Xenopus tropicalis: one gene and its partner. The protein of the gene in region 2 purifies or fractionates together with the protein of the main gene of each other region. This does not show direct contact. Links are inferred from orthologs where the notes say so. Each region holds a gene or a part of one and is shown on either strand. Other genes may lie near its edges.

What was found.
Region 1: the proteins of gtf2f1 (region 2) and hnrnpu purify together in Homo sapiens (affinity purification with western blotting; 3 studies listed by BioGRID, with this or other methods). This does not show direct contact. The link is inferred for Xenopus tropicalis from reciprocal best matches to the Homo sapiens genes GTF2F1 and HNRNPU.

Annotation. Positions count from the first base shown.
Region 1 is NC_030681.2:44,497,750-44,513,631, forward strand, and holds the start of hnrnpu (heterogeneous nuclear ribonucleoprotein U), read right to left. Parts: upstream 8,728-15,882; 5' UTR 8,699-8,727; coding exon 8,116-8,698; intron 5,661-8,115; coding exon 5,561-5,660; intron 5,490-5,560; coding exon 5,416-5,489; intron 4,345-5,415; coding exon 4,205-4,344; intron 4,114-4,204; coding exon 4,014-4,113; intron 3,308-4,013; coding exon 3,195-3,307; intron 3,034-3,194; coding exon 2,770-3,033; intron 2,183-2,769; coding exon 2,063-2,182; intron 1,972-2,062; coding exon 1,846-1,971; intron 841-1,845; coding exon 672-840; intron 475-671; coding exon 208-474; intron 1-207. UniProt on the Homo sapiens protein: DNA- and RNA-binding protein involved in several cellular processes such as nuclear chromatin organization, telomere-length regulation, transcription, mRNA alternative splicing and stability, Xist-mediated transcriptional silencing and mitotic cell progression.
Region 2 is NC_030679.2:140,875,959-140,891,299, reverse strand, and holds the end of gtf2f1 (general transcription factor IIF subunit 1), read right to left. Parts: 5' UTR 14,847-15,341; coding exon 14,835-14,846; intron 12,806-14,834; coding exon 12,759-12,805; intron 12,549-12,758; coding exon 12,476-12,548; intron 12,186-12,475; coding exon 11,992-12,185; intron 11,781-11,991; coding exon 11,610-11,780; intron 11,256-11,609; coding exon 11,047-11,255; intron 10,882-11,046; coding exon 10,737-10,881; intron 9,712-10,736; coding exon 9,653-9,711; intron 9,304-9,652; coding exon 9,190-9,303; intron 7,453-9,189; coding exon 7,379-7,452; intron 7,270-7,378; coding exon 7,128-7,269; intron 6,884-7,127; coding exon 6,760-6,883; intron 6,174-6,759; coding exon 5,969-6,173; 3' UTR 5,737-5,968; downstream 1-5,736. UniProt on the Homo sapiens protein: TFIIF is a general transcription initiation factor that binds to RNA polymerase II and helps to recruit it to the initiation complex in collaboration with TFIIB. It promotes transcription elongation.

The DNA of each region.
Region 1 (15,882 bases), on a different chromosome or scaffold from region 2:
CTGTTGCTTAAAGGGGAGGGCATCTCTCTCTCAAGAGGACCTCTTGTTGTGGTCACAGCTTCACTGAACCCCTGCCTAAATATTTAAGGTGGTTTTGACAAAGGTCAATGAACAAATTCTGAAACTAAGTCATCTTTGATATGTTTGCCTCAGCCCTCTTTACTAAATGTATACAATATTCTGTACAACTACATGGTGCAAACATACCTCCACCCCTGAAATTTCCTCCACGCATATTGTATCCTCCACCTCCCCGGCCTCTGTGTCCATGACCGTGAGACATACCACCTCTGCCTTTGGTATTTTTGTTCTTGTTTGGTTTCTTTGCTCCAATGTTTTGTTTTTTCTCTGGTGGAAGGGACGTCTTACTCTCCTCCTTATACTGCTCAATAAGTTTATCAGCATCTTCCTTTTGCAACTCCACATAACTGATTTCATCAAAGCACTCACTTGCTTCTGGAAGAGTAAAGTTACCTGAGAGGGAAAAAAAAAAATGTGCTCTATCAGGGGCCATCATATTAGCACCATATCAGAATGGTTGTTACAAAGTAAAGTAGAAATTAGAGACCAATAACAAGTTTGTGTCAGATCATAGCATAGAAGCCATAAGCTCTGAAAAACTGCCTTGCGAAGAGGCTCAATGGCGATCAAGAACATGGAAATCTACTTACCTTTCATTTTGAGAACTGCATGTTCTGGAAGATCTTTGCCTTCCACCTCAGATTTTTTCTGTGTTCTCTCTTTATATAACTCGTCTGTTGGGCAAACAACAACTGCTTTGCGTTGGAAGCCAGCAAACAAGCACATTTTCCTTCTCTGTGCAGCTACTGACACATTTGTCTGCAAAAGAGAAAAGAAATGTCAAACAAAAAAATGTTAACTTTAGGAAGGCAAAGCTGGAACACTTTGCACCACTCAACACAAGAAACAAATCAGTTTGATAGTGTATGTACACACACACTACAGCTTAAACCTGATGAAAGGCAGAGGGGCCTTGTATGATTACAAATAGATTTTGCTGTTCTGGTTATTATTAGAAAACTATTAAGGCACCTTAGTAGCCTTATGGCAGGGTGCTCCATTTTGTATAAAGACTCCCTGGTGCTAAGTATTTTGTACAATATATTCCACACCTGTACTTAAAATACTGCATTTAAAGGTTAGAAAGCTCAAGGTGTCTTAATTACTATAGCTTATATTTCAGTTATAAGTTTTATACAAAGTGAGGTAAAATGGACTTATTTCTATTGAAAAAAAAAAAGCCCTGTATGCTGAAAGCAAGGTTTGTTATTGTATTAATAATTATCATATTAACATGTGAAATTATGGATCACTTTAAAGAATTGTTTGCCTTTAAAATATTTTCACTCCCACTGTTTTCTAATAGATCAGAAATAACTTGACATTCTAATACTAAAATTTAAAGTTTCATTTTTCACCTTTTGAATAATTCCTTTACTTATGCAAAAACTTCAGATTTTTTTTAAATTGTTACAATATGCTACATTAGTTAATAACATTTCTAATTACCAACCTCAATTACTGAGGTTCTTCTGAGAAAAGGTTAACTTGTATTTTACTTCTATAGACTATGGTAAGTTTTCTGAAATTTTTACTAGCCAACGGTAAATATACAATTTATTTATATTTAAAAGCATACATGACTAAAATTAATTATATTTTTTATTTAACAAAATATAGAAGACAGCAGGTTTCTAAACAAAGTTTAACAATTGCCTGAAAGCAGAAAACACTGCCGGTCAAGGTATGTCTCTCTAAGGCCCTGTATAAAAATGGCAATATAAATAATATATATATATATATATATATAAAAAAAAAACTTACCTGATCCAAGATAAAATGCCTTTTTTTGCGAGCAGCAATCTCAATAAATTTGCTTAGGCACTGTGGGGCCCTCTGCAGCAAAGCATTTAACTTTCCAGTGTCAGACATTTGCTTTTTGCAGCCAACCTACAAAGAAAAGGGTTTTAAAGTAAAAATGTCAAGAAAAAAAAAAAAAAAAAAAGGTTAACATACCAAAATTATATATTAGGATTCTTACCGTCATCTTTTCCATAATAGTGTTCGTTCCAAGTATGTTGTATTTGCCAGGGTTTTGTTCAGTATGATTAGTTACCCATGTTGTTTTTCCAGCACCTGGCAAGCCAATCATCATTATAACCTTTAAAAAAAAAAAAAACATATTTGCTCTGAATGTAATAAATGTATTTGTATTCTTAATTCTAAAAAAAAGAGCACATATTAAGCATTATGACACGAATAACCATATCACTATACCACACATAAAAACACAAGATAAATTAACCAACAAGAGTTCCAATGAAGTTTAACAGTAACTGTCCTTGGCAAGCGTGTGTATCACTTATCTTCAACCTAGTAAAGATTTTATTATCCAGTATTTAAATAGCACCAACATGATCAGTGTTAATCATGAGCAATTAACCTGCCTGTATGAGTGTGGAAGAAATCCCACACAGAAACAGAGAACATGCAAACATGCCAAGGCCAGATGAACTCAGCACTAGCACAAGGCAGAAGTGCTTGGACACCCTTCTGCCTAATTTGCTTTGAGGAGCACTACAGAGCAGTGATCTTAGAGTATCTGCAACAATAAGCACTGGCTAAATGTCTTTCCAGTTCTCCCACCTATAGTTTACACCCAAAACCAGACAACATGAATTGAAAGATGCAAAAAGAGGGAGAAGAAAAAAAAACTGTTCTCTTCAGTTTACTTTCAAATATACTTACTTCACAATCCTGCTTTTGTTCTGGCCCCAGAGGTGCTCTGACTCTGTCCTCTAAAGGAACGTTCTGAATTAATGTATAGCCTTCAGGGATAGAAAAAAATGGTTCTGCCATTTGCCCAAAGTTGAATTCTACGGCACAGTTGTGGCAGAGAATGTGTGGGAAGAGAGCCTGCTCCAATATGGTATCTTTGTTAATCTTAAAAGCAACTCCAAGGTCTTGGCCATTTTTTGCATAAGAAAGTTCTATTTCATCTTCTTCAAAATTCTGCAACAGAAAAAAACCAGTGAAGATCAAAATTAGTGTCCCCACTTTTAAATGCTAACCCAATCAAAAGCAAGATATTTCATTATACTTTGCCAAATTTAAAAGAACTCCAACTGTAGCACACAAGATGTTTTAATGGGAATTAAACATGAATTACTCACAGCACAGCAAGTGATCACATCATTCTCATCATATTTCTCTCCATAATCCTCAGCAACACCATTGCAACATTTTGCTGCTTTGAGAGAATAACCATAGGAATTTTCCTCCTCCCCTAGTAAAGCAAAAATAAAATTGTATTAGGCTGTTAATGTATTTGTTTTCCAAATTATAATACAGATATGGTAACTTTTGCCATGAAACCAGTTATTCAGAAAGATACAAATTAAAGGAAGGCCATATCCCATAAAGTTGTTTTGTTTTTTTTTTACTAATTCCACTTTCAAAACCAGCAACTTGTTCTTGATCATAACTAAGCTGTATGAATCTATATTTGCAACCAAACAATTATAGCAGATTTAATTTTTTAAATATTTAGCAGTTTAAAGTATGCTAATTCAAAATTATGAAAACCCCAGTTGTCTTGGATAACATAACTTCATGGACATGCTGGCTATATAATGAGAAGGCATTTTTAGGATTTATTTTTATGCAAATCCCTCATAACATTTCTGAGCAGTGACTGTTAAATGTGTTTCAAGACTGACAGACCTAATTTAAAAGGCATATTAAATGGATCATTAACAGGTTATATTTAATCTTTATGTGAAGTTCTGCAAAAAGTCAAAAATTGTAAACACAACCTCAAGAGGAATGGAAAACCAACTTAGAAATATTGCATTATTCAATGCCAAAGAGGCTGGATGGCCTACTTCAAAATTCTAGCTAGAAAGACAGATAAGGTCTGCTGGCATGAAGGATACCTATAGCCTAGCAAACTTTATTAATAGGGATATATTCTCCCTTTACTATCTACATACCGAGCATGTATCCACAGGAGCTCAATGACCAGCCAACACGAACTTCATGAACATCTGTTTCTTTTGTATATACATGTTTAACTGGAATCTTTTCAGTTACCTAGGGGGTAGAAAATAAGTTTGATTGGTTAAAAAGTAAAATTTAACAGTTGTCGGTTCGAGACAGCTTTTGCATTTGTAAGTGCACTTACCTTCATCTCGAAACAAACTTTCCCCTTTAATACACCGTAAGTGGCTCTCCCTCCAGCCCAGAGAAGTGCAAAGCTCTCCATGGTAAGTGATGATGCACTTAAGCGATCACGAGAAATTTTGAAGTGAAGATCACAGTTATCTATAAAATATGATTATGGATAGACAACATCTTAGCTGAGAAGCTATACACAGCACCTACATACAATACGGCATGGTTAAAAAGTCTCTATACATTATCAAAAGAAAGGGTTATAAAGTCTTCAGACAGACATGTACTGGCCAAATGATCACATCTACGCTGGTCCAAACATCTACGCTGGTCCAAACATCTACGCTGGTCCAAACATCTACGCTGGTCCAAACATCTACGCTGGTCCAAACATCTACGCTGGTCCAAACATCTACGCTGGTCCAAACATCTACGCTGGTCCAAACATCTACGCTGGTCCAAACATCTACGCTGGTCCAAACATCTACGCTGGTCCAAACATCTACGCTGGTCCAAACATCTACGCTGGTCCAAACATCTACGCTGGTCCAAACATCTACGCTGGTCCAAACATCTACGCTGGTCCAAACATCTACGCTGGTCCAAACATCTACGCTGGTCCAAACATCTACGCTGGTCCAAACATCTACGCTGGTCCAAACATCTACGCTGGTCCAAACATCTACGCTGGTCCAAACATCTACGCTGGTCCAAACATCTACGCTGGTCCAAACATCTACGCTGGTCCAAACATCTACGCTGGTCCAAACATCTACGCTGGTCCAAACATCTACGCTGGTCCAAACATCTACGCTGGTCCAAACATCTACGCTGGTCCAAACATCTACGCTGGTCCAAACATCTACGCTGGTCCAAACATCTACGCTGGTCCAAACATCTACGCTGGTCCACCGGGGAATGCGGAAATGCAGCGTGAATGCGTATGTGATGCAGCATACGTACGCATTCACACAGCACTTCCTCATCCCAACTTCATCGCGGTCCATCAGAAATCCACGGAGGATCGACTGGTGGACCGCGATCAATGTATTGGCCACCCCTGGTCTAAACAGAGCCCTGGGATGACTGGGTGGCCGGCACAACCAAATTGAAAATTCTTTTGGGTTTTTTTAAAACTGACAACAGAAAAGCAGATAATACATTATCCTGGGTACATTAATGAACACGGTTTTCCCAAATAACTTAATCTGAAAGACTTACAAGTATCAAGAAGTACCATGGTATCATCCAACTTCTCATCTTCTTCATCAACTGGTGGTTGAGGAGACTTTGCCCTGAAATAAGAATATAGTTAAAGCCATGTAAAAATGCAAAGTAGAATGGCACTGGACAAAACTGTACCTACCTGCTATATTTATTTTCTTCAATATATTCAAAATAGCCACGACCATGGTCCTCACGTGGCCTTTTCACACCCCTTTTCTTCTCTTTTGGATCTTTTCCATCTAGAAATAAGAATGTGAAGCTATAAACCACATCCATACACTTACAATGAAACACTTGCAGCTATTCTTACATGATCAAGAAATTAAATCCAATGTAATTCTCACAGACTAACTTCACAAGTAGCAAGTACAGTATTTATCTCCACAAGCACAAAATGAGATTGTTTTTATCATTAATGTGCAGGTATGGCATCCTTTATCAGGAACAGTTTTCCAGAATTCTCCAAATTATGTGAAGGCCATCTTCTATGGTGTTAATTTTAAGCAAATATAATTGTTAAATAAAATTTCCTTACTCTGTAATAATAAAAATGCACCTTGTACTTGATGGTAACTAAGCTACGTGAATCCATGTTGGTGGCAAAACAATCCTATTGCATTTATTTAATTTTATAATTCATTTTTGCAGACAAGGTATGGAGATCCAAATAATCCTTTATACGTAAAACCCCAGTTCCCAAGCATTCCAGTTAACACAGCCTACTCCTGTAATAGTCTGCATAACCTGCAGAGCTGTAAAATACATATCTATACTTTAATGTCCTAAGTATGGCTGAATGCCTGCTTGACTTATCACCCCAAAACACTCAAAATTACCCCAATCACTTTCAGTATGACAGGCCAACAGTCGCTTGGTTCAGTCTATCAATTATTGCTGGAAGCTGCCATGTGTGCCATTAACTCAAGCATCTCTTTGGTTTCAGACAAAATGATGATCTATTGTTAATTCAATTACATACTACTCTTGTATTTGTATTTCCACCCTCTTTTCCAGTTTTTTTTTTTGCTCAGCAGGAGGAAAATCTATACCCAACAAGTCAAGACAGACAAAAAACTGTTTTAGTCTCAGTGCACACAATGTTCTACACAGTATGTGTATGTCGAACTAATATGAAATTGAAAGTAAGAGCACATGCACAAATGTTTAGCCTAACAAAATGTTCTACTTGGTGGAATTCTGTAGTGGCTTTTTATGTGGCCAGAAGGCAAATAGCAAAGGACTACTACAACAAAGTTCCTGTCTGCTTTTCAGGTTTCTAAGATCACATACAAGAGGTCACTGGAGTGTAAGCCAGCCTCTGGGGGAATCTGTATTCCAGCAAACAGATAAATAAATGCATTCCTCTATGAATGAGTTCATGAATGTTGAAGTCAGATATAAGGCTCATTTTTCAGCAGCCCTACAATTGGAGTGTCTGTGCAGCTAGGGAAACGAGCTTGGGGGGCATGCAAGGCGACCCAACATTCCCTTTGTGCTTTCCACTGTTCTATTTTGGGATACTACTTCCTGTTTCTCCTCAGTACCTTTCAGCCCAACGACTTACTTACAAGGCTATTCTAATGCTGTACTGCTTGATGCTTCTTTGCAAATATAGTACCAGATTTATATGCCACACACCTCCAATCAACCCACAAGGATGCATTTACAACCTAGTAATATCAAGGGAGTAGGTTTATTAAAAGTTTGGGGGGGGGGGGGGGGGGGGGGGGGGCTAGTGGCAGTACTGCAATACAGGCTGACAGATTTAGAAACAATGGACATGCAGGATCCTTGGAACTTACAAACTTTTTCCCAATCTGTGTGACTAAGCTACTGGGGCCATAAACATGCAATCCTAAGCGCCTTTGGAAAACACATTAATTTTATTGTGTGAAAATATAAATTGCTACTGAAAAGCGGTATTTATTCTTGCAATCTTGATCAGGTGGTTTCTGATACATTGTTGCTGAAGTCAGAACCAGATGTGCATAGTATTAACAGCCACACAGATACTAATGGCAACAGTAAATACTTTTACAAATACCTTTGTGGAAAATGTTTAATGCAATTACTTTTTTGAAATTGGGTGGAGAACTCATTTAAAAAAAAACACATTTCACTTGCACAAAATGGCAGAGTTGTGTAAGCACCCTGTATTAATTCAATGGAGACTAACATGATGGAGATAACGCCACACAGATCAGCGTTAAACAGCGATAAACTAACCCGGAGAGCCCACTAGGCCTTACAGAGTACAACAAAAGAGAAAACCACAAAAGGCACTCAAGCGGATCCCTAAGAGACAATAATGGCTGCGCCGCCCACACAAGCAGGAGCAGCAGGTGCGTTAGCAGAGCCGCACTCCCTAACATGGGGGCAGGGAAGCCCCTCCCCGAGCAGTGACGCGCTCAGCCCGCCGCCGCCACAATCATTCCAGGAGGAGACGTGACAAGATGGGCGCGCAGTACGCGCACCCCTAGCGCCAACCCCCTTTGTCAGCGGTACTCGGCAATAACCATTTACACGGCGGGAACAAGAGCGCTAGCATTTTATACAAGTCAACAAGGCCGTGGCCTACCACCTCCCACATACAAAATACTCAAGGGGTCACTAATTTTACGAGGCGTTGTGGTAACATAGCGGATGTAATAAAACCGCGCTGCACTATAATATCGAAAAATAAAAGTGTCGTACCCTCCATAAACTCACCGCTCCTCCCGGGGCCGCCCGTCTCTTCGCACTTTATGGCCATTAGTGGTTGTGGGCCGCTGGGCGCACTCTCGCTTTCCTCCTTCTCTTGATCTTGCCCGTTCTCTCCGATAGCCGCTTCCGCATCATCTTCTTCCTCCAGTCCAACCGGAATGCCTTCATCTTCTTCCTCTTCTTCCTCCTCCTCCTCATCTCCCTCCTGGAAACCCTGATCGTCTCCGTTCTCATCTCCTTGCTCTGCTTCAGGTACCTCCTCGCCGGGTACCTCCTCGTCGGGCGCCTCCTCATCGGCCCCATCGCCTCCGTTTTCTCCTCCTAGCTCCATTCCTTCTTCTTCTTCCTCCTCTTCGTCTTCTCCGGTTGCACCTTGTTCGGGATCGCCCAAATCCTCGGCCTCATCAGGGACCGCCACTCCCCCTCCTCCAGAAGCGCTTCCCTCCTCGTCCAGCGCAGCTTGCAGTCTCTCCATCAGATCGGCCTTCAGCCCTTTATCGCTAAGGTTCCTCTTCTTCAGCTCTTCCTTTAGCTCGGATACCTTGAGCTTCTTCACGTTTATCGGGGAACTCATTGTGCCGGTCAGCTGTGCGTGCTAGTGGACTGAACCAGGAGAGGGTTTGCGAGCGTGTTTGTTGCGCTCTTACTCCTTCCAAAATGGCGGCACCAGCAAGGACGGAGCGCACTGCCCTCAGTGGGGGAGGAAAGAGAAGAGAATGAGGTTCGAGGGAAGTCGGGCTCTCCAAGGTTCTACTCGCTCCGCCCACATGGAAGTGGGAAGAGTCCGGTTCCAAGGAGCCACGCCCAGCAGCGTTAACTCTTGTAGCGGCTAAATGGCCAAACAATGCGCCTTGTGATCTCTGCCTTGTGATGCGAGAGTATGAGTTCTCTCTCGTATTCACATGCTGCTACGCGTTAATAAAGAAGGAGGCTTGTGGGCTCCAAATATACGTAACGTAATACAAAACGGCTGCTTCTGTTGTCAATAATTATCTGTATTTTGCCTCTGCCCCTGTTCATTTAGTTGAATAAACACTCGCTCCCACACCCGTTGTAAGCAATAAATCCATCCAATAGGACAAAATGTTGTCTCACAGCCAGCCAATATATATCTACGATAGCGCTCCGTTCCACTTTATCGAAATTCTATTTTACCCTACGTTTGTGCCTCCCTTCTACATTGCCGAACGGTTTTTCGCGGCTCTCGTAGATATACTGTGTATTGGATCAGTGCCATATTTCATGTGAGAAACAGTGTGGCTTGGGGTTGGTTGGGGGCATGGTTTTGTAAATTAACAAAACCGCAAATGTGCCTGTCTGTACAGTGGTTGTACCTGTTACTAAAGCATGTTTTTGTTAGGAAGATGGCACATTTTCAGGGACATTTCCTGTTTTTTAAAGCTGTTATATGGCTTTACCAAACCTATAATTCATTTATACAAACACCATAGGTGTTTCAGTTTGATAGGGTTGTCACCTTTTCTGGAAAAAATGCTGGACTTCCTGTTTGCATGTGTTTTCCCTATTAATAACATTGGCATAAGGCAACATTGGCCTCACTGGTAAAGGTAACATCTGTAATGTTAGACTAGTTCAGGCCATTGCAGGCCTGGTTGCCATACACCACTAGCCAATTAATATTCTTTGGTATATCAGTAATGATTGGATTCCGAATGTGTAGGATCGCCACATTTTCTGTAAAAATACAAGTCTTCATAAATTAATATCTTTTTGTCCTCTATTAACAAAGCTTGATTGGGATCACGCAAGTTTTTACAGGCCAAGCTAGGCAAATAACGGCCATTTAGGAGCCCTAGATGAGCCCTAGATATGTGGTGGCCATATTAGAAACAGCAAGAAGTGAAGTGGAACTTGGGTTCCTAATCAGTCATTGCAAAATGCACTGGGCAATATAGTGGATTGGTAGATGGCATTCACAAACATATTTATTTGACTGTCAGCTGCTTGCTTAACAACTTATATACAGTGTCATTTATAGGGATGCACCAAACCCCCAAATCCATAGTAAGGGATTCAGCAAAAAACCGAACCAAATCCTAATTAGCATATGCTAATTAGGATACAGAAGGGGTAAAAAAAAAAAAAAAGCAACTTTCCAATATGAAATAATTAAAAGTTTAACCGTTATTTGTAAATGTAATTGCTATTGAAAGCAGCATTTGCTGAACTCCTGCTTGTTACATTTTAAACAATGTTGCAAAGGTCTTGCTTCTCCAGCAAGGCAGGTCTGTTAGTCTGTTACAGTCTGCTTGTGTTACAATGTTTCAACAGTCAGAGCCATCAGGGCAGTGAACAGAAAAGGACAGACAAACACTGTTTCTAATAGCAATTATAAACAAAATAACTCAAAAACCATTACAAACTCTAAGCTGCTTAGAGTTTTGGTTTCTTTTATTAGGCTAAAAATTATATCTTGCGTTGCCTTGTCCTTTAAGGTGGCTGATTCTAGCTACCGATATCGGTCCTTTAGACCCATTCCAGCAGCTTATCTGCCCGTGTATAGACGCAAACGATGGGCCTGCCCAACCGACATCTGGCCTGAAATCTTCCTAATCTCAATCGGGCAGGTTTGACTTTTCCGTCAGATTGGGAACCGCATCAGCTTGTTGTCCCCAAACTGACGGCGTATATACCCTCCATTATACTTTGATCGTTTGGCCCCAGGGCCATCTACCTAATTAACCCGATATGGCCCACCCATAGGTGGGGATATCAGGAGAAGATCCGCTCGCTTGGTGACCTCGTCAAGCGAGCAGTTATTAACGTGTATGGCCACCTTTACTTTTCATTAAAATCAGAGATAATTTTGAGGCAATTAAGTCTCCTAGCATTCCATGTTTCCAGTTGTATTGTGCATCTAGATAAAGTGGTAAATAAATGTTTTCTTTTATAATGTTGCACTTAGAGCTTTACCTTTCCTGTGGTGTATTCTGTTTTAGGAAGAAGAGGATGAATTGCGCATTGTTAATAATGCTGGAGACAGCATGAGTGTGGTAAGCCCATCTGTGCCTATTTACCGCTCATTGCTATGCAAGAGAACATGTAGCCCTAAGCAGTTATGTTAGCAGTAGTTAACTTTATGCCACTACAGTTTAAAGGAACAGTGGTATTAAAATAGTTCATAAAAGTTTTTAAGTTATATTATCCTGGAGTGGATTCCCTTGCAACAAAATACACAACTGAAATGAAAATTAACAAGACTCTGTGGCTTTGAAAGTTTTCATTTTGACCAGCTATCATGTCCTTTAATATGCTGCAAATAACTGCAACAGCTCTTAATTTTCAGTTGTGTATATATGTGTGTGTTTTAAAAGAAGATCATATAAACCCCAAGATATATTATGCTGTATAAAAAAATATTTACTGATTTTATTTTTGCTGTACTGACCACCCAAGAGATGAAGCAAAGAAAAGTTTTTTGTATCTATTTATGGCTGCCACTTCTGATTTTATTTGCTTGATATCCTTTAAACACATTTACATGACACTTTAGAGAGGCTGGCCACATTCACATCATTCCCATCCCTAGCGAAGCTTACAAACTCTCTCACATGGCATTCACACAACACACACCAGAGTCGGTTTCATCAGAAACCATTTAACTGTATGTGTATTTCTGGGGTGTGGAAGGAAACCCATGTAGACCTGTGAGAATGTACAAAACGCCTTGCAAAAGTTGAATTTAGTATCTGACTGTAATTTCACAAATTCACTATTTACATAGTCACTATTTAAGGTGGTCATACACATTCAGATTTTAGTCTTCTTCTGATGAACGTTCAGATATCAGTTGTACGTTTAAATGCAGTGATCTGAAACTAATATTCAGAGATTTCGACATCCAAAGAGTCTGTTTCAAAGTCCATAGTTTCCTGTTTTGGGGGGCTATTTGAATGATCTGATGACATAACTATGCTTGCAATTAGATGTCACCACCAATGTTTAAAACCCTGTTTTAATGCAGTCTTTGGTTTAGGTGGGCTGCACATTTTTGTGGGTTTATATTACTGGTTGGTGCTCTAATTCATATGAAATAACAGTGCCATATCTCAATAAATTCTGGAATTTTGTATAAAGAATTATATAATAAATGGTTAAACCACACACTTAATATGAATATGTAAAAAAGAATTTGACTGTGGAAGAAGGGCGTGTTTGTGTGAGAAAAGAAGTGCAAAATGTAAACAACACTTAGATAATGGAGTGAGAAAGGGAGAAGGGTGGACAATGGCTGTGCCTTGTTTTATGCATCTCAATAACTACCTTTCATGTGCAAGCTACACCTTTGCACCTTGGGAGACTGGGATTCATTCTGTTAAACAAAGTAGCTGCCAGTGCCAACATTGGCATGTTGTTCTTTTGAGATGGAAAATTGAACTTTTCAGCATTTAAATAATGGAATAATTAAATAATAAGTTTCTCTAGACTTTAGACCAAATTATTCTGTGCTTCTTAAATAAATAATAAAGTTTAACTTCAAGTGAAAAATATATCAAATGCTAAAATACATGCTCTTGGGTAAAAAGATTTTTTTAGAACATCAAAAAATGAACTAGCTAGATATTATTGCACGATTGTCCATAACTTGTCAGAAGAAGTTTATGGTAGATTTTTGTTCCATATGGCAATTTCACTTTACTCAGACTTCACACCTTCATGATCTAGGAAATGATAGTATAAATTTGGACACATGCAGATTTATTGTTTGGATATAATTAACAACCACTGAATGTTCAACATTAGGCCATGACCACCCCCCCTTGCAGGTCCAGCCTCTGGTCAAATTCCCCTTGGCTTATGAAATATCAGCATATCAGTCTATTTACCATACTTCCAAGAATATCTAGGACCACAAATACATTTTACATTGAGATAGATGGTCTCGAGAGTTTTTGCAATATGACATTTACATGGGATTTCAAAATCATCCAGTAATTTGAAATTTCGGCAGAATGGTCTGTAGAATATTGGCCTATATGTGTCGTTTTTCTTTTTTTTATGGTGCAAACAGAAATGAAGGAACAAAGAATTATACATCTGCTATAACATTATCAATTTATAGTTGCAATTTTGACTTGTAATGTCCAGCATGATATTGCCTCCATTTGCTTTTGTGGTTATCACCAACATAAACATTGCACAAGGGTGCAATCATCTTCAAGGCAATGCCTACCTGACAAGTAGCGCCTATGTTTAGAGGTGACTACTGTAAAAGTTAATTGGGGGCCAAATTTGAACATTTTATCACTACCAGTTAATCAGAGGTTCATGCTTTTTGGCTTTCTAGATACATTAGAAACAGTATAGTACCCTACATGGTTCTGTTTTGCATAAAGGGCTCAGCATTTCCTATCCAATTTACAATGCACAGCTTTTAAAACAGAGAGCTGGGACCTATCCACATCCTACTAATTTTAGTAGATTTGAGTTTATGTAGCAGTCCTAGAATGGGGTGTGATAAAAAAACATGACATTACCATGTCTCGCATGAATGTTCACCAAATTCACATACACTATGGGGGCCTGTTCATTAAAGTACGATTGAGTCAGAATGGAAAAAATAGTATTTTTTCTAACCTTTAGAACTGTGCGTATTTTCTGCAATTTTTTTATTAATTTCCACAACTTTTTTGTGCTTTGCGACAATTTATGCGACACAATTGTATTGTCACAATGAGTATGAAAGTTTCGATATCCATTCAAGAGTACCATTGAGTCCTATGGGAGGCTTCCAAAAACATGCGCCAAAGGTCCAAAGTCAGAGAGTTTTTTGCGTTTCTGATTCATTCAGATACGAAAATCTGAACTTTCAGATCGTACCATAATATTTTCGTACGACCACAATGCAAAATCTTCGCACTTTTAACGCGCATCAGAAATTATCGGATTTAATCCGATTTTTTTCAATTGTACTTTTAAATGTCCCAAATTCAGACTTTGATAAATGGGTCCCTATATGTATAATCCTTAGTGCCAAGCATTTTGATGAGTAAAACTCTGGTGCATCAGCACTTCTGTAGTACACCAGCACTTCTATAGGTCAGTTGTTCTGATCATTGCATTGAAGTATTACAATTTTGTACTAGCAATACAGTGGTGAAAATTTGTTTAGTTTGTAAACATAATGGCCAACACAGTGCTGGGCCTTGGGATGCTTGTGCCCAAGGCAGGATGCGCTGCTTGTTACCCCTCCCCACCTCTGCGATGAGCAGTGCAGGTTGGGGGAGGAGTGGCCTGACAGGTGAGGAACTGTAGAAGGGTCAGAACTCTGGGTAGGAAGGCAGAAGAGGTACGTGTCTGGCAACCCCCCACCATTGCCTACACCTATTTCCAACTTTGGCCCAACAAGAGGATGTCTGGTTATAATCTTTGTGGAAATAGTAGATTCCAGCTGGATTGACTGACAGCTCAATCTGATTCAAGAAACAACTAAAAACTGCATTGGAGCCTGCACAGACCAGAGGGATAATTTATAAAGTGCCAGGCAGGGTGCAAAGAGTAGTAACAAACCACCATGTTTTTTGCACTTTTACATCCTGTCCTGGTTTTACACCTTGTGCTGTGAGAGAATACATTCTTAGATGGTATAAGTAATTGCACTGGTGCATTATAAAAACAATCCCCTGGGTGGTGGCCTTTAAATAAAGAACAAATAGCCATCCCTAGTAAGAATACTACATGTGGCAATTACAATGTTTTTGCTGCCTAGGCAATTTCCTGCAGGATCAAGCTATCAGTGTGACCCCCACAATTCAGATATTTTTTGAGCAGAAGAGCTCACTGCCACAATGTTAGATTATTGTTAGGGCCAGGTTATTATTCAGGACAACAATGAGGCAATTGCAAGTGTTTTGACTCTTGGCGAGCTAGAGATTGCACTTCACTGAGCAACGTGTAAAAATATGGCTAATTGCACCCGTTTTTTGCTCCCTGCCCTGCATATAATACATGACCCCTAGTATCTTTCCGATGATAACTACATCTGTTCCTACTGTAAGCCTTTTTTCTACAGCTACAATCTGTAAGCTTCATACTACAAGGTCTTGTGCATGTTAAGCCCTACTGTTTAAACTGTCTTTTCTGTTTTACAACTGTAAGCTTCAGGCTCAGTTCTTATGCAAGTTTCTCAATACTTATTGTAAGCTGGAACAATTCTGTGAGTAACACAACATCTCTATTCAGGCTCCCTACCATAGTGGTACTGGTGGTGGGTTATTAGGCAGCGACTGTTTGAATATGAGAGGAGTGATGCTGTGGGTACAAGGATAACTGTTGGTGGTGTGCTAAGTACTACTGGAGGCCCTAGAAGTCCTAACCTGTCAAGACTCCAGAAAGTGCTGAGAAACTGAATAATACCAGCCTGCATTGCATTGCATTGCAAATCTATAATATGATACCCAGAGTAGCTTTAGCTGCACAAAAACAGGGCGGAGGTGCCAAAGTAACATTACATCAACCTTACTAGACGTGATGAATTCCTTCCACCTTACACAAATGACTGTTTTGAGATGGAAACAGTAGGCTCATAGTTTTGACACATAATTTTGGCCATCTTGGATATGGATTTGTTCCACGTTTAAACCTGAGATAAGTGAAATTAATCAGCAAATATAAAAATGCATACAATTTTTTAAGCTCCCAAATCATTTAGCAAATGCGGAGAAAAAAATATTATTACATCTCCACATTTCTTTTTTCCAAAAATGTTATAGAGAACCACATGTTCACAAGTCTAGT
Region 2 (15,341 bases):
AACACCTGGAAAAAAATCCAATTTTATTGTCGGTGCACAAATTCTGCCCCTCCCCAACCACATCCGGTGCTCCTGGACTAATTTAGCTGTGGCCCATTGCACGTACAGAACTGCACAGCTACATCACCATCCTTGGCCATGTGACTTCCATTCCCATCATGGATTTCAACTAGGAACATGTGCAGTAGCCAAATGTCACAGTTTGGCCAGTAGTCTGCAGGCCTGGCTTGCTGAGAAGCGACATAGATGTTGGGGACAGAAGTGACACTGCTAAAGGTGGTGGCCAACACTACTGAGCAGCGCTGTAACTCAGGCCATGCTATGGGGACACAGATAAGTTGGGACAAGTGTAAGTGACATGTAGGGGAGGGGGATGTGAACTGTTACTTAAAGTACAAATTTCCCAGGGAAGCTTTACTTTTCCTTTAGATAAAGATTTATACAATTTATTCACTCACAATGCTTTTATTGCCTCATTTATTAACAGAGAAGGAAAGGTTTAAACTAAGTAAGCTTTATCAGAAAGGTCTGTATTTAATAGCCATAAGCACTCACTGTACTGCTGCTCTGAGTCCTCTGTGAAAAGAAACAGAATTCCCTGTCTTCTATTCTGTACACATGAGCTTCTGTGTCAGACTTCCTTCTCAGGTTTACTCAGGTATGGTAAATCATTTTACAGGATATAGAGTTTTTGCTTGTGCTATTGTGACTAATCTATTAGCAGTAAACTGCCTCACTAGCTGCTGTATTTTACATCAGTTTTACCACCACTTATACTCCAAAAAAGGGCTGAATTGCCCGCTGAATTAGCCAATAGGAGCCAATGTGCTGAGTAACCAGTTGTAATTGGCTTGGCAACCGCTGTGCCTTGTACTAATGATTGGGCCTTTAGCTCCTCCTCCTAATCCTGTCAGTCTGCCGTCAGGTGACACTCAGTTGTACCTGTGCCTTGTACTAATGATTGGGCCTTTAGCTCCTCCTCCTAATCCTGTCTGCCGTCAGGTGACTCCCAGCTGTACCTGTGCCTTGTACTAATGATTGGGCCTTTAGCTCCTCCTCCTAATCCTGTCTGCCGTCAGGTGACTCCCAGCTGTACCTGTGGCTTGTACTAATGATTGTGCCTTTAGCTCCTCCTCCTAATCCTGTCTGCCGTCAGGTGACTCCCAGCTGTACCTGTGCCTTGTTCTAATGATTGTGCCTTTAGCTCCTCCTCATAATCCAGTTTTACCACCACTTAATACTCCAAAAAAGGGCTGAATTGCCCACTGAATTAGCCAATAGGAGCCAATGTGCTGAGTAACCAGTTGTAATTGGCTTGGCAACCGCTGTGCCTTGTACTAATGATTGGGCCTTTAGCTCCTCCTCCTAATCCTGTCAGTCTGCCGTCAGGTGACACTCAGTTGTACCTGTGCCTTGTACTAATGATTGGGCCTTTAGCTCCTCCTCCTAATCCTGTCTGCCGTCAGGTGACTCCCAGCTGTACCTGTGCCTTGTACTAATGATTGGGCCTTTAGCTCCTCCTCCTAATCCTGTCTGCCGTCAGGTGACTCCCAGCTGTACCTGTGGCTTGTACTAATGATTGTGCCTTTAGCTCCTCCTCCTAATCCTGTCTGCCGTCAGGTGACTCCCAGCTGTACCTGTGCCTTGTTCTAATGATTGTGCCTTTAGCTCCTCCTCATAATCCAGTTTTACCACCACTTAATACTCCAAAAAAGGGCTGAATTGCCCACTGAATTAGCCAATAGGAGCCAATGTGCTGAGTAACCAGTTGTAATTTGCTTGGCAACCGCTGTGTTTAACAAAAGATCAAATAAAGTAAAAAAACAAGGACCCAGAGGGGAAGTATAAGCAGCCGCAGGCAAACACAGGGTCAAAATCCAAATAACATACCAGGGGTTAAAAACCATGGTGTCGGAATATGGGGAAGAAGGGCAGAGCAGGAAGTGACTTTCACAACAGGAACTCAGGAGGCGTGGTCTCAGCAAAAGCACTTAGGGGTGTTTTTACTAAGATTATAACTGGTGATGTTTCCCATAGCAACCAATCAGAAATTAGATTTGAACTGTCATCTACAAGTTAGAAATACAAGCAAAGATCTGTTTAATTGCTGTGGGCAGTGTCAGCGGTGATATTGATATTCAGTCTCCGTAAACGGGGCCCTTAATGATCAGGCCAGGCAGGGGAATAGTTGAATGGGGCGGGGTAGTGTACAGATGGGGTGGGGAAATAATCAGGACAGAGGCTGGCCCCTATATAAAAGGGATCTGCTGGGGAGAGCCAAGGGATTATGGGTAAGGTCTCCACCCTTACAAATTTGCCAGCAGATGTATGGCCAGTGTGCCAGCTAGGCCGGCCAAATACCGGCTGGGTGGCAACCCTAGTTAGAGGACCATCTGGAACAAGAGATGAAGGACCACCTAGATCAGAATCTAGAGAGCCCCCCAGAGCAGACTGATTGCAGGATCGCTGACAATAGCCAGAGCCTAGGGAGACAGGTCCTCCGGCCCGGGCAGAAAATACAAGGAGTGGAGGCAGGACTGGAACAGAACGGAGTAGCCGCATTAGGCCAGGCCACTGGGGGACCGCACCATGGCAGGTAATAGAGGCTGGGCAGCTCTGGAGAGATATGTTGTGTCCCCCCAGTATATATATTGGGGACATGTGTTATATAACATTGGTCTGTGTCCCTTATTCATCGGCCATTATCCTGCTTTCCCTCCCTCCTTCCCCATACAAACCTTATTTTTAGCAGCATCTGGAGAAGTGGAGGTAGCATCCGTCTCAACCAGCGCATTCCAGACTAACCGGTGAAACCTGCTGAAAACTCGCCAGCCACGTTTGGAATGTGAGAGGAATTCCCGTAAATCAGCGAACAGCATCCCCGGCGCATCTGTGTCTGAGGGAAACACAGGGAGCAATGGAAGGGCAAGAGAGGGACGTAGGAGATAAGCCTGGGGTATGTGGCCTCCTTCATATTGCCTCCGGCCTCCATTAGTGTCTGTTACCGCAGTAACACAAAGGCACAAGGCTGCAGGCTGAGTTATACAGGGAACTCGGAGTATCACTCATGTATTATAAGGGATAATTTACCCCCTACTGTAAATGATAAGGATATTAGCAGTCACTGAGGGGTTCTGTGCCCATATAAAGGCACAAGGCTGCAGGCTGAGTTATACAGGGAACTCTGAGTATCACTCATGTATTATAAGGGATAATGTACCCCCTACTGTAAATGATAAGGATATTAGCAGTCACTGAGGGGTTCTGTGCCCATATAAAGGCACAAGGCTGCAGGCTGAGTTATACAGGGAACTCTGAGTATCACTCATGTATTATAAGGGATAATTTACCCCCTACTGTAAATGATAAGGATATTAGCAGTCACTGAGGGGTTCTGTGCCCATATAAAGGCACAAGGCTGCAGGCTGAGTTATACAGGGAACTCTGAGTATCACTCATGTATTATAAGGGATAATGCCCCCTACTGTAAATGATAAGGATATTAGCAGTCACTGAGGGGTTCTGTGCCCATATAAAGGCACAAGGCTGCAGGCTGAGTTATACAGGGAACTCGGAGTATCACTCATGTATTATAAGGGATAATGTACCCCCTACTGTAAATGATAAGGATATTAGCAGTCACTGAGGGGTTCTGTGCCCATATAAAGGCACAAGGCTGCAGGCTGAGTTATACAGGGAACTCTGAGTATCACTCATGTATTATAAGGGATAATGTACCCCCTACTGTAAATGATAAGGATATTAGCAGTCACTGAGGGGTTCTGTGCCCCCCATATAAAGGCACAAGGCTGCAGGCTGAGTTATACAGGGAACTCTGAGTATCACTCATGTATTATAAGGGATAATGTACCCCCTACTGTAAATTAGGACCTATAGAAGTGTAGGAGGACATGGATAAGAATGACCTGTTGGATTGTAGGGTGGCACAGTAAGGATATATTGGAATGTATGATGAAAGTCAAGATTATACCATCTTAAGGTGGCCATATAGAGGCCTATTGTAGCTGCCGATATCGGCCCCTTGGACAGATTCGGCAGCTTATCGGCCTGTGTATCGGCAGAAACAACGGCCATACCCGACCAATATCTGGCCTGAAATTGGGCAGATATCGATTGGGCAGGTTTAAAGATTTAGTCTGATCGGGGACCGCATTGGCTCGTTGATGCGGTCCCAGAACCGACTGTGCCATTGCCGTTAGAATTTGATCGTTTGGCCCCAAACATTTTAGCCTACATTTGCCCACCCATAGGTGGGGATATCGGGAGAAGATCCGCTCCCTTAGCGACCTTGCAAAGCGAGTGGATCTTAACATGTATGGCCAGCTTTAGGGTGACACAGACAAGACAGGCCTTATGGACAGTAGGGTGTCATAGGTTCAGTACATAATGGCCTATTGTATAGTAGGGTGACATGGATAAGAGAGAACTGTGGAAAGACAATAGGTGACAAAGGGGTCTGTCAGTGAGTGGGAAGCTACAGACGAGGGCTATAGGGCCACCATACAATAAGCGGAGATACTGAGCCCCGGGGTAATTGAAACAGAAGATATTTGCTAAAGCAAAGCCTTGGCAGTAGACACTGACCGGGGTGTTTCCTGTAATTCTGACGAGAAAAAGCATCACAGAAATGTGGAGAGAACGTTTGTAATTCCTGGAGAAACCATAAATCAGAGCGTGGCGGAGACAAAGGAATTAGAGAAGCTGGAAGCCAGAGATGCACCTGGGTCAGACACAGACTCAGGGACTATAGAGAAGCGAGGGCAGAGAGGGAGATTGGGTACAAACAGAGGGGCATATGTACCCCCACCCCCCTGGTGTATATGGTACAGGATATGGGAGGTGGGCAGCAGGAATAAATGCCAGGATGAGAGGGGCTGGGGGGGATATTTAATGGGAAGATAATCCCCGGGTAGGCTTTTCCTACAGCCACACCACTGTGTCTGCCTGACCAATACAGAGCTCTGTTACATAAATGGAGAATGCATTTTTATTTGTGGTTTAGTAATTATTTCACGTTTTGTTCAGCAGCTCTCCAGTTTGGAATCTGAGCAGTTATCTGGTTGCTAGGGTCCAAATTGGGACCAGGCACTAGTCTGAATGAGAGAGTAACAACAACAATAAAGCTGGAGCCTCACAGAGCAATTGCTGTTTGGCTTCCGGGGTCAGTGACCCCCATTTCAAAGTTGCAAATTATTTAAAAAATGAAGACCAATTGAAAAGTTGCTTAGAATTTGGTCTTTATTTATTTGCCTTCTTCTTCCAAATCTTTGCAGTTTTTAAATGTGGGTCACTGACCCCGGCAGCCAAAACCCTATTGCTCTGTGAGGCTACAGTTTTATTGTTACTTTTTATACCTTATTTTCTCTATTCAGCCTAAACCACTCCCTTGTTGTTAAGGTAACTTGGACCCTAGCAACTAAATAGCTGCTGAAACTCCAGACTGGAGAGCTCCTGAACTGAAAATGAAATAACTGAAAAAACTACAAATAAATGAATAAACAATGAAGACCAATTGCAAATTACCCCAGAATATTACTCTCTACTACATCGTACCAAAAGTTAAGTCAAAAAGGTGAACAACCCCTTTAAGGCTTCTGCAGCTCAGAATGGCACTTTGCTGTGCCAAACTGTACCACTTAATGAAATGACAAGCAGGAGGAAGGCTGGCAGTGCCAAGGGTATTCATAATCTATATTAAAGTCCAAACACAGTATATAGTAAAAAAAAAAAAAATGACATTTATTTTCACCTTGTGGCACTTGGTCCTAAACTCATTAGAAAAACAGTCATGTGACAAATGTCCATAACTGCCAGCATCTGTCACCCCCACCCTCACGCACTGACAGTTGCACACAGTGTGCCGCACAGTTCTCTATGCAGCCCATAGGGGGCGGTGTGTGCACAATCTATACAAATATACATGGGCCCACAGTGCACGATGTACCGATCACTCCTTTAGGTAGAAGTGCATCTTGTCGTGCACAACCTTCCGGTCTGGGTTCAGTCTCTTTAGGATCTGGGCCAGCACATTGACTGTCTGCTCGCTGCTCAGACCTGTCTTTTTGGTTTGGAATTTCTTCAGAAGGTCTTTAGTTGTCATGGGTTTGCGGGTCAGGTACCGGCGAACGGCGTCCTCGGTCAGCTGAATGTCCCTGCACGAGCGACACACAAGCCGTATTAGGCACACACACATATACAGCTGCATTCCCTACATATACTATACAGTTTGTCATTTCCCTATGGTACCAAACTGTAAATGATATCCTTATAAACGGTGCTTAGTGATGTCATCAGAGCTTAGTCACATGACTCACTAAAACATGTATATTATAATAAATAAAGCATCCCCTGTTGTAAAATATGAGGATATTAGAAGTCACTTCGGAGTTCCATGATCCTATAATATCCCTATATGTTACAATAGGGGGTACTTTATTCACTATATATTATAAGGAACTCCTCGGGGGCTTATAATATCCCTATATGTTACAATAGGGGGTACTTTATTCACTATATATTATAAGGAACTCCTCGGGGGCTTATAATATCCCTATATGTTACAATAGGGGGTACTTTATTCACTATATATTATAAGGAACTCCTCGGGGGCTTATAATATCCCTATATGTTACAATAGGGGGCACTTTATTCACTATATATTATAAGGAACTCCTCGGGGACTTATAATATCCCTATATTATAGGGGGCACTTTATTCACTATATGTACTGAGCCTTACCCGCTGCTGGGGGTCGACTTCCCGGACTGTGGCTGAGGGGTGGATTTTCCTGAAGTGTTTTGCGGCCCGGATTCCATCTTGAGACGTTTCGCCGCAGGAGTGTTTGACACTGCTCCTCGTTTGCCTGCGAGGTGGGGGGGGGGGGGCAATGTATGAGATGGTCAGGAAAGGAGCACAAGAATATGGAAGAAATAAAAGCATGAAAGGAAAGCATGTGTGTGAGAGAATGGCTAAACATCAGCCCCACCCCAGAATTAAAAAATGGCGCCCTGGCCCAGAGGCAGAGGGGAGGCGGCCCTAGTGGCCCAGAGGCAGAGGGGGGGGCACCCTACAATATGAACACAAGGAAAGCCATGTGCTACACTGACTTTGTTCTAGTTTACTTGCTGCAGCTCTCAGGGTGCTCGACGTGTTCCCTGTGTCAGGAGACGGGGTTCCGGGCCTGCTGTTCCCCCGGGAGCTGCTGTTGGAGCCGCCTTTCTTATCCTTCTTGGATGGGGTCTTCTTTTTCTGAAATGAATGAAAATAAGAGAAGGTTTTCCCCTGTACTAAAGCATGATATACAGAAGAGGAATGACATATAAGAGTATTTAGGCTCGGTGCCGAGGCCCCACCGTACCTGCATAAAGAGGGATGATGAGGCTCCATCAATATCACTGTCCTCAGAAGTCTCAGACTCATCACTGCTGTCTTCTTTGAAAACAGAACAAATAAAAACAATGAGAATAAGAAGGGATGTTCTACATGTGTCTCAACTGCAGCATCCAACTGATAAGGGAAGGCTGCTGATGGGTGCATGGAGCAGAGAGACCTGGGGAGCTGAGAGACCGAGGGACCTGGGGAGCTGAGAGACCGAGAGACCTGGGGAGCTGAGAGACCTGGGGAGCTGAGAGACCTAGAGACCTGGGGAGCTGAGAGACCTAGAGACCTGGGGAGCTGAGAGACCGAGAGACCTGGGGAGCTGAGAGACCGAGAGACCTGGGGAGCTGAGAGACCGAGAGACCTGGGGAGCTGAGAGACCGAGAGACCTGGGGAGCTGAGAGACCGAGAGACCTGGGGAGCTGAGAGACCGAGAGACATGGGGAGCTGAGAGACCGAGAGACATGGGGAGCTGAGAGACCGAGAGACATGGGGAGCTGAGAGACTGAGTGCAACGCAGCCCTAAGTTTAACTACAAGCATTGTGTCTCTGTGGAAAGAAATGATTGAAGCCACAGGGGACAATGTCCTATTGGGGTCTAAGATGGTGACTGGGGGGGGGGGGGCATTGTACCATGCATATGGATGGCTGAACCCTATGGTGTTTTCCTTGTACATTCTACATAAGGAAACCCTTGGCCCATTTGAATGGAAAGAAGACGTCATGCAATGTGGAGCAGAGCAGCCAGATGAGAGCGGGGCCCGGAGAGAGAAGTGCAGGTGAAGAATGAATTTGGCCTACTCTGCACCAGACATTCCCCGAGTGAACGGATGCGTCAGGGTTTCATTAGAATGGAATGGGTCAGAGCGTGTTCAGAACTCGCCAGATGTTAGAGAGGAATATTTTATGGACCGGGGTGGAGCGGGGAGGATGGAGAAGCATGGGAGATGTCTGGCAACTTCACCTTCTGTAACAGAACTCCCTTAGATTAAATATCAATCAGGGTGAAGTGGAATTTGGAAGCTGATGCCATTACTTCTCTTACATAATCTGAGAAGGAAGGGAAAGTGCAGTAACTATGGGGGAAAGGAGCCGTGTGTCTGGCTGGACGGAGGGAAAGTCTACTTTGGGTGAACCTCTACCCGCTTGTAATCACAAGTAAGGGATTCCCAAACAGCCCCTTGTACATCAGTCCCTCAGCTGCTGTTATTCCCATGTGTTCCCATGGTCAGACGGGGGGGGGGGGGGGGGGGTCTACTGCACTGATCTCTGTGTATCTTGTGGCATTAAACCTCCTTTACATGAGCATTGGAAAGAGAGGGAATCAAGTCCTCCCCCTCCCTACCTGAGCATGGGAAAGAGAGGGGGTCAAGTCCTCCCCCTCCCTACCTGAGCATGGGAAAGAGAGGGGGTCAAGTCCTCCCCCTCCCTACCTGAGCATGAGAAAGAGTATTAGAGCTGAAGGTAAAGGGGTACATAGAGAAGTACTGGGGTACAGGCTAACGGATGCATCAGCATCTTTACATGTTCTGCCGAGAGCTGTGTAAGGAACCCCAGCTGAGGCAATATGGCATCTCCCACTCACATTTATAAAATGAATATGTAGAGAAAAAATGCTGTGCTGGAAACTGTAACTAGGCCACAATAAATCACTTCATACAAAGAGAAAGGGGGGGGCCATCAGTCAGAGTTTAATGATATTACAGATGGGGGAACAGAGTTAATTAGGGACCAATGATTTTTAAACCTCATTGTGCCCCTTAATGGTGTACATCAGCGAGACAGACTCACCTTTCTTCTTTTTCTTATTATCCTGTGGGGTGGGGGCCTTCTTCTCTTCTTCTTCCTCTTCCTCTGCCTTTTCCTCCTCGCTCTCCTCACTGCTCTCACTCTGCTCATCCAATCCTAAGGGAGTACAAAAAACATGTGACTCCGTGTGATGTCGTTGCACCAATTCCTTCCTAAGCAGGAACCCCGACTCTCACTGGGCTAGTCTCATAGTAATGTGATGCAGAGAAACAGGGAGGGGCTTAAACTGTCACATGATCACACTTCTGCCTGGGATGCGCTACAAACCTCCCTGTAGCAGAAATGACACTAGCAAACTCCATACATGGCATTTTGTGATGCCAGAAAATTGCTTGCTGTGGTACCAGGATGATCTCCCTGGAGTAGCCAATGACGTGGGCTCATGTAAGAAATAACATGTTACACAGAAGAGTGCATATCAGCAAGTGACTCATACAAATAGTACCTTTAGGGCCTTCCTCCTCTTTGGCGGGTTTGATCTTCCCTGGAAGCTCTTCATCAGAGCTAAAAGAAAAGGAAATAAAGGTAAGATCCATACTATATATTATATATCACATGATTTGGGCTCTGGCCCTTTAAAGGAGAAGAAAAGGCATTTTTTAGCATTTTATTGCCAATAGATTAGTAACAATAGTGCAAGCTAGAACCCTATATTTATTCTGCAGAAAGCTTTACCATACCTGAGTAACAGCCCTAGAAGCTCCCTCTGTTTGTTTAAGACAGCAGCTGCCATTTTAGTTGGGTCTCAGTAGCTTCCTGCTGCAGCTCTAGCTGCTAGTAGCTCAGGTTACAACCCAGTAGGGAAGGGGAGAGAGGAGCAAACCGAGCAGACTCTTGCTGCCCTGAAGGATTTTTTTTTTTTTTGAGAGCAGGAAGAACATGTGACACAAAAGGAGACCAGAAATCCTGTGTTTCTTTTGATAGAGGACTCAGTGCAGCGTTTCTGTGAGTGCTTATGGCTGTATTTACATAGACCTTTCTGATAAAGCTTACTGAGTTTTTACCTTTCCTTCTCCTTTATTATTTATGCTAGGGATGCACCAAATCGGATTCAGCCGAACCTCAAATCCTTTCTAAAAGATTCGGATGCTGGCTGCAAAAAGGTAAAATCTTGCGTATATCCACTGAACTATTTACAGGGCATAGTTCACCTTTAAATGCACTTTCAGTATGATGTGGCCATTGGTATTTGTAAGACAACTGCAATTGGTCAGCAGTTCTTCAGTTTGGTATTCTAAAAGCTATCTGGTTGCTATGGTGCAATTTACCTTAGCCAACCAGGCAGCTGTTTGAAAAAAAGAGTTGGGAATATGACTAAAGGAGGGCCTAATACACAGAGCAATAGTTTTTAGCTGCCGGGGTCAGTGACCCCCCCCCATTTAAAAGCTGTCAGAAGAGAAAGGCAGATAATTCAAAAACTATAAAAAATAATGAAGACCAATTGCAAAGTTTCTAAGAATGGGGCATTCTATAACATACTAACAGTACATCAGGTGAACCGCCCCTTCCGCACTACAGGTTTCCCTTACCTGCTCTCGTCCGACATGTAATCTACTTCCTGCCCCTCAAAATCCCCATCGTCGCTGTCCTCTAGAGCCTCGTCGTCCGACTTCTGCTTCTTCTTTTTCTTGCCCTTGGCCGGAGCTTTCTTCTGGGGCTTTGTGCGACGCTCGCCTGGAGACAGAGGGAACATGAGGGAAGCCATCTTTTGCCTTATACCCATCCCCTACTGTTTCATTACTTTCCATCAACATTTATACTTATACTAGGGAGCCAAAAGCTGGGTATAGGCAGTCCTAAACTGCTAATATCTCAAACCCCTACCCCACAATAACTTACCCTCCTCATCGCTGTCCTCGCTTTCACTGGAGCTCATATCAAGGTCATCCTCAAGATCATGGATTTTGAGGTCACTTTTTTTCTTCTTTTTCTTGCCCTTTCCTCCTTTTTCCTGTTTTCCCCCACCTTCCTCTTCATCATCATCTCCCACCTGGTCCTTCAGGCGACGCTGCTGCATAATGGTAAAGTGATTGAGGACTTTGTTGCGCCTGCAGGAAGGTGAAAGACAGTTAATCCGTGGGTCTTACAATCACATTTTATGCGTCTGGCAAGGAGACGGATCATTAAAGGGGACCCGTCACTCTAAGAAATTATTCCAAATCCTTTTCTATCATGTTAGTTGAGCAAAATAAACTTTCCTTACACTATATAAATTATTTAATTTTTTCCCTTCACTCTTGGAATTCACAGTCACAGTCTGCAGGCAGCCGCCATTTTGTGTACAGTATTAAGGCAAGCTTTGTATCACCCCAAAATCTTATGCATTTGCTATCATGAAGGCAAAAATGCCCTAATAAGGGTATATAATATGGGTGGGGGCCTTATTTGCTGCCTCTGGTTACCTTTCCCACTCCTGCTCCGCCTCCTCGGCCGTCAGAGTGCGATGCTTGGCAAGTGGAGTGAAATTGTACCAGTTGGAGACTGGAAATGCTTCAAATGCTCCATCTGCGCACTGTGTGAATATGTAGTAAGAGGCATTTTCCGTCACTCCGCCCTTCTTCACGCCTTTATACCTGGAGGGGCAGTGGAATCAAGTGAAATAAAGGATATTGCATCAGTGTTGCCCCCAGTGGTAGGAGGATAGAAACAAAGGATATTGGGCCAGCGCTGCCCCCAGTGGTAGGAGGATAGAAACAAAGGATATTGGGCCAGCGCTGCCCCCAGTGGTAGGAAGATAGAAACAAAGAATAGAATAAAGCCCTATGCTGTTCATTGCTGACTTACTTGCGTCCTGCCTTTCCATTCACTCGCAGAAGCCAAGGCTGATCCTCTAGTTTGAACTCCTTTAAAATGATCCCGTATTTTTTCCTCCTGGACTCCTCCCTCTGTTTGCGGTTATACTCGCTGCCAGCCCCAGATTCAGGCATCTCTTCATCCTGATACATCTTTTTGGCACTCAGGTCACGTTCCATACGAGCCTGAAGAAATACAGGTACCCGTCACAACTCACACAGATATACAGACCAATACAGCCACGCATTTGCTTTAGTTTGGCAGCAGGGGAATTGGGACTATGGCACATGTGACATTCTAAACAAAATTGCACATACATACTATAGACAGCCCAAACTTAATTATATAGTGAATCCTATCTAGAGTTACGTCATCCAACATAGGGAGAGCCCTGTGTATTTTTGGCTTGTGAGTATTACACTGTACAATGATTAGGATGCTGCCCTTTATGGATTATAAAATGGTAATCCTGTACCTGGTTCCACGTGGAGAAATCCACTTTATCCGCAGCATTAAATGCCATGAGACTGTACCGCTTATTTGGATTCCTGACCAACAGAGAGAAGAGAGAATGCATTGAATATCTATGGAGAAATATCAGGACACTGCACACAGTAAATGGGAAGGATATACTATCTGGGTACAGGGACATCCCAGGTTAAGCATGTATTCTCAGACATATTGATGTTACCAGGCTGGGAGAAGAGAACACAGCTAAGTGCACCCAGATATCCACTAGTAACAGACTGCTTACTTACCTGGGTACACGCACCACATACTCTGTAACAGACTGGCCACTGGTGCCCTGTGGGGAATGAGAATTTCAGTAAATACAGAGATAAAAGAGAAAACAACCATTACTGGATTTGCTCTGGCAGAAAGATATAAGAGTAGCAGGGCCACAGGCTGGGGAAGACGTCTGCTGGTCAATTTGGCACAGGGCTGGGAGACAAGGGGTTAAAGGAATGGGGCTGGGGAAGAAGTCTGCTAGTCAATTTGGCACAGGGCTGGGAGACAAGGGGTTAAAGGAATGGGGCTGGGGAAGAAGTCTGCTGGTCAATTTGGCTCAGGGCTGGGGGACAAGGGGTTAAAGGAATGGGGCTGGGGAAGAAGCCTGCTGGTTATTTTGGCACAAGGCTGGGGGACAAGGGGTTAAAGGAATGGGGCTGGGGAAGAAGTCTGCTGGTCAATTTGGCACAGGGCTGGGGGACAAGGGGTTAAAGGAATGGGGCTGGGGAAAAAGTCTGCTGGTCAATTTGGCACAGGGCTGGGAGACAAGGGGTTAAAGGAATGGGGCTGGGGAAGGGGTCTGCTGGTCAATTTGGCACAGGGCTGGGAGACAAGGGGTTAAAGGAATGGGGCTGGGGAAGATTGTCTGCTGGTCAATTTGGCACAGGGCTGGGAGACAAGGGGTTAAAGGAATGGGGCTGGGGAAGATGTCTGCTGGTCAATTTGGCTCAGGGCTGGGAGACAAGGGGTTAAAGGAATGGGGCTGGGGAAGAAGTTTGTTGGTCAATTTGGCTCAGGGCTGGGGGACAAGGGGTTAAAGGAATGGGGCTGGGGAAGAAGTCTGCTGGTCAATTTGGCACAGGGCTGGGGGACAAGGGGTTAAAGGAATGGGGCTGGGGAAGAAGTCTGCTGGGAGACAAGGGGTTAAAGGAATAAGCATTAGTAATGTCTGTTCTGTTAAAGGAGAAGTAAAGTTACAATCACTGGGTGGGGGGAGCCAAAATATTAGCCCCCCCAGTGATTGTGATCACTTACCTGAAACCCCCAGCCGGTGCTTCTATTGGGAGAAAACTGCCCCAGCCTGGGGTGTATGTGAGCCAGTGTTTCTCTTCCTGCTTCGGTCTTTGCCCACGCGCAGTAGAGTGAGGAGCCGACTAACAATAAAGCTGTCTGTTTCACTCAACTGCCCCGGGATTCAGAATAAAGGAGGAAGAGGAACGCTCTCTCACATATACCCTGGGCCGGGGCAGTTTTCTCCTAACAGCAGCACCAGCCTGGGGTATCAGGTAAGCGATCACTCAGTCATTTAGCCTTTCTTCTCTTTTAAAGGGGACATATTGGATAAATGGGAAAAACCCTAATCCTGTAGGCAATTATGAATAATATACGGTGCTGGTTTCCCTTTGGGCTAAACATTAATCCTATCTGTAACAATGGCCCCTTTATTGGCGCTCCCTATAGATCCTATCACTTCTCTGTCTGTGTTTGAAATGAGGGGTGGGCGTGTCCTAACGGTCCCTGCCAGAAGCACAGTAGGAGGGGAGTAGCCAGTCACAGCCCTGCACTCACACAAGCACAGACAGGCTTCAGTTCCCTATCAGGTCAGCCTAGCTGCTGATTGGTTCCTATATTACAAAGCAGTGTACAGAGTGCCGCCGGCTCCCCTGCACATCCAGAGAATTCAGCCAGCAGAAAGTGGAACAGATGGGCAGGACTAGTGGGGTTTTGGGGGAATATCTCAATAAATCAGTCTGAAACACAACTTTCATACACATTACATTCATCATTTTTATAGGATATGTCTCCTTTAAAAAGTAGCTGGCAGATTGCTAAAGCAAATGGGAAGAAGAGAAGAAGGAAAGAGTGTTACACTCACTTAGATTGTAAGCTCTACGGGGCAGGGACCTCCTTCCTACTGTCTCATACCACATGGCACTTACTCCCCATGTATTTATATTTATTTATTGTATTTATTATAACACTTGCCCTCCCTGTGTGTAATTGTGTATATTGTAAGATTGTACAGCGCTGCGTACCCTTGTGGCACTTTATAAATAAAGTTATACATACATACAGACAAACACAGGTACTTGTACACCACTTACCAGCGACGCCATCGCTTCTCAGGGCAGGTTCCCTTGGGATCTATAAAAGATAGAATTCAATTGTCTCAATACACACACACACAGACAGTTGCATGAAGCGAAGCGATAAGCATTATCCTGCCTCTATGGGGAGGGGCTGGTAAAGTCAGTACAAAGCCAGAATGGTGACCCTATATACAGTACATACTCACTAATGGGGTTATAGTATAGTTACTAGTATAGTATATATATATATATATAGTTAGTTTTCTGTTGGTGAGAGTAGTTTCAAGCCCCCCCCCCCCCAGATATATAGAGATGGGAGAGCTGTAGTTAGACTTGTCCTTGTTTGACTGACCCTTCCCTAAGGCAGTAGCATGATAGGAAGGCAATATAGAATGGAGTTCAGTAGGGAAGGGAAGCATACAGCACAATGACTTTCTATATATAATGATTAATGGCGCAGGTTAGTGGCTGTGCTACAGCCCCGGCTGAATGAAGCACCTGATGGGAGGAAAGTGAGGGCAG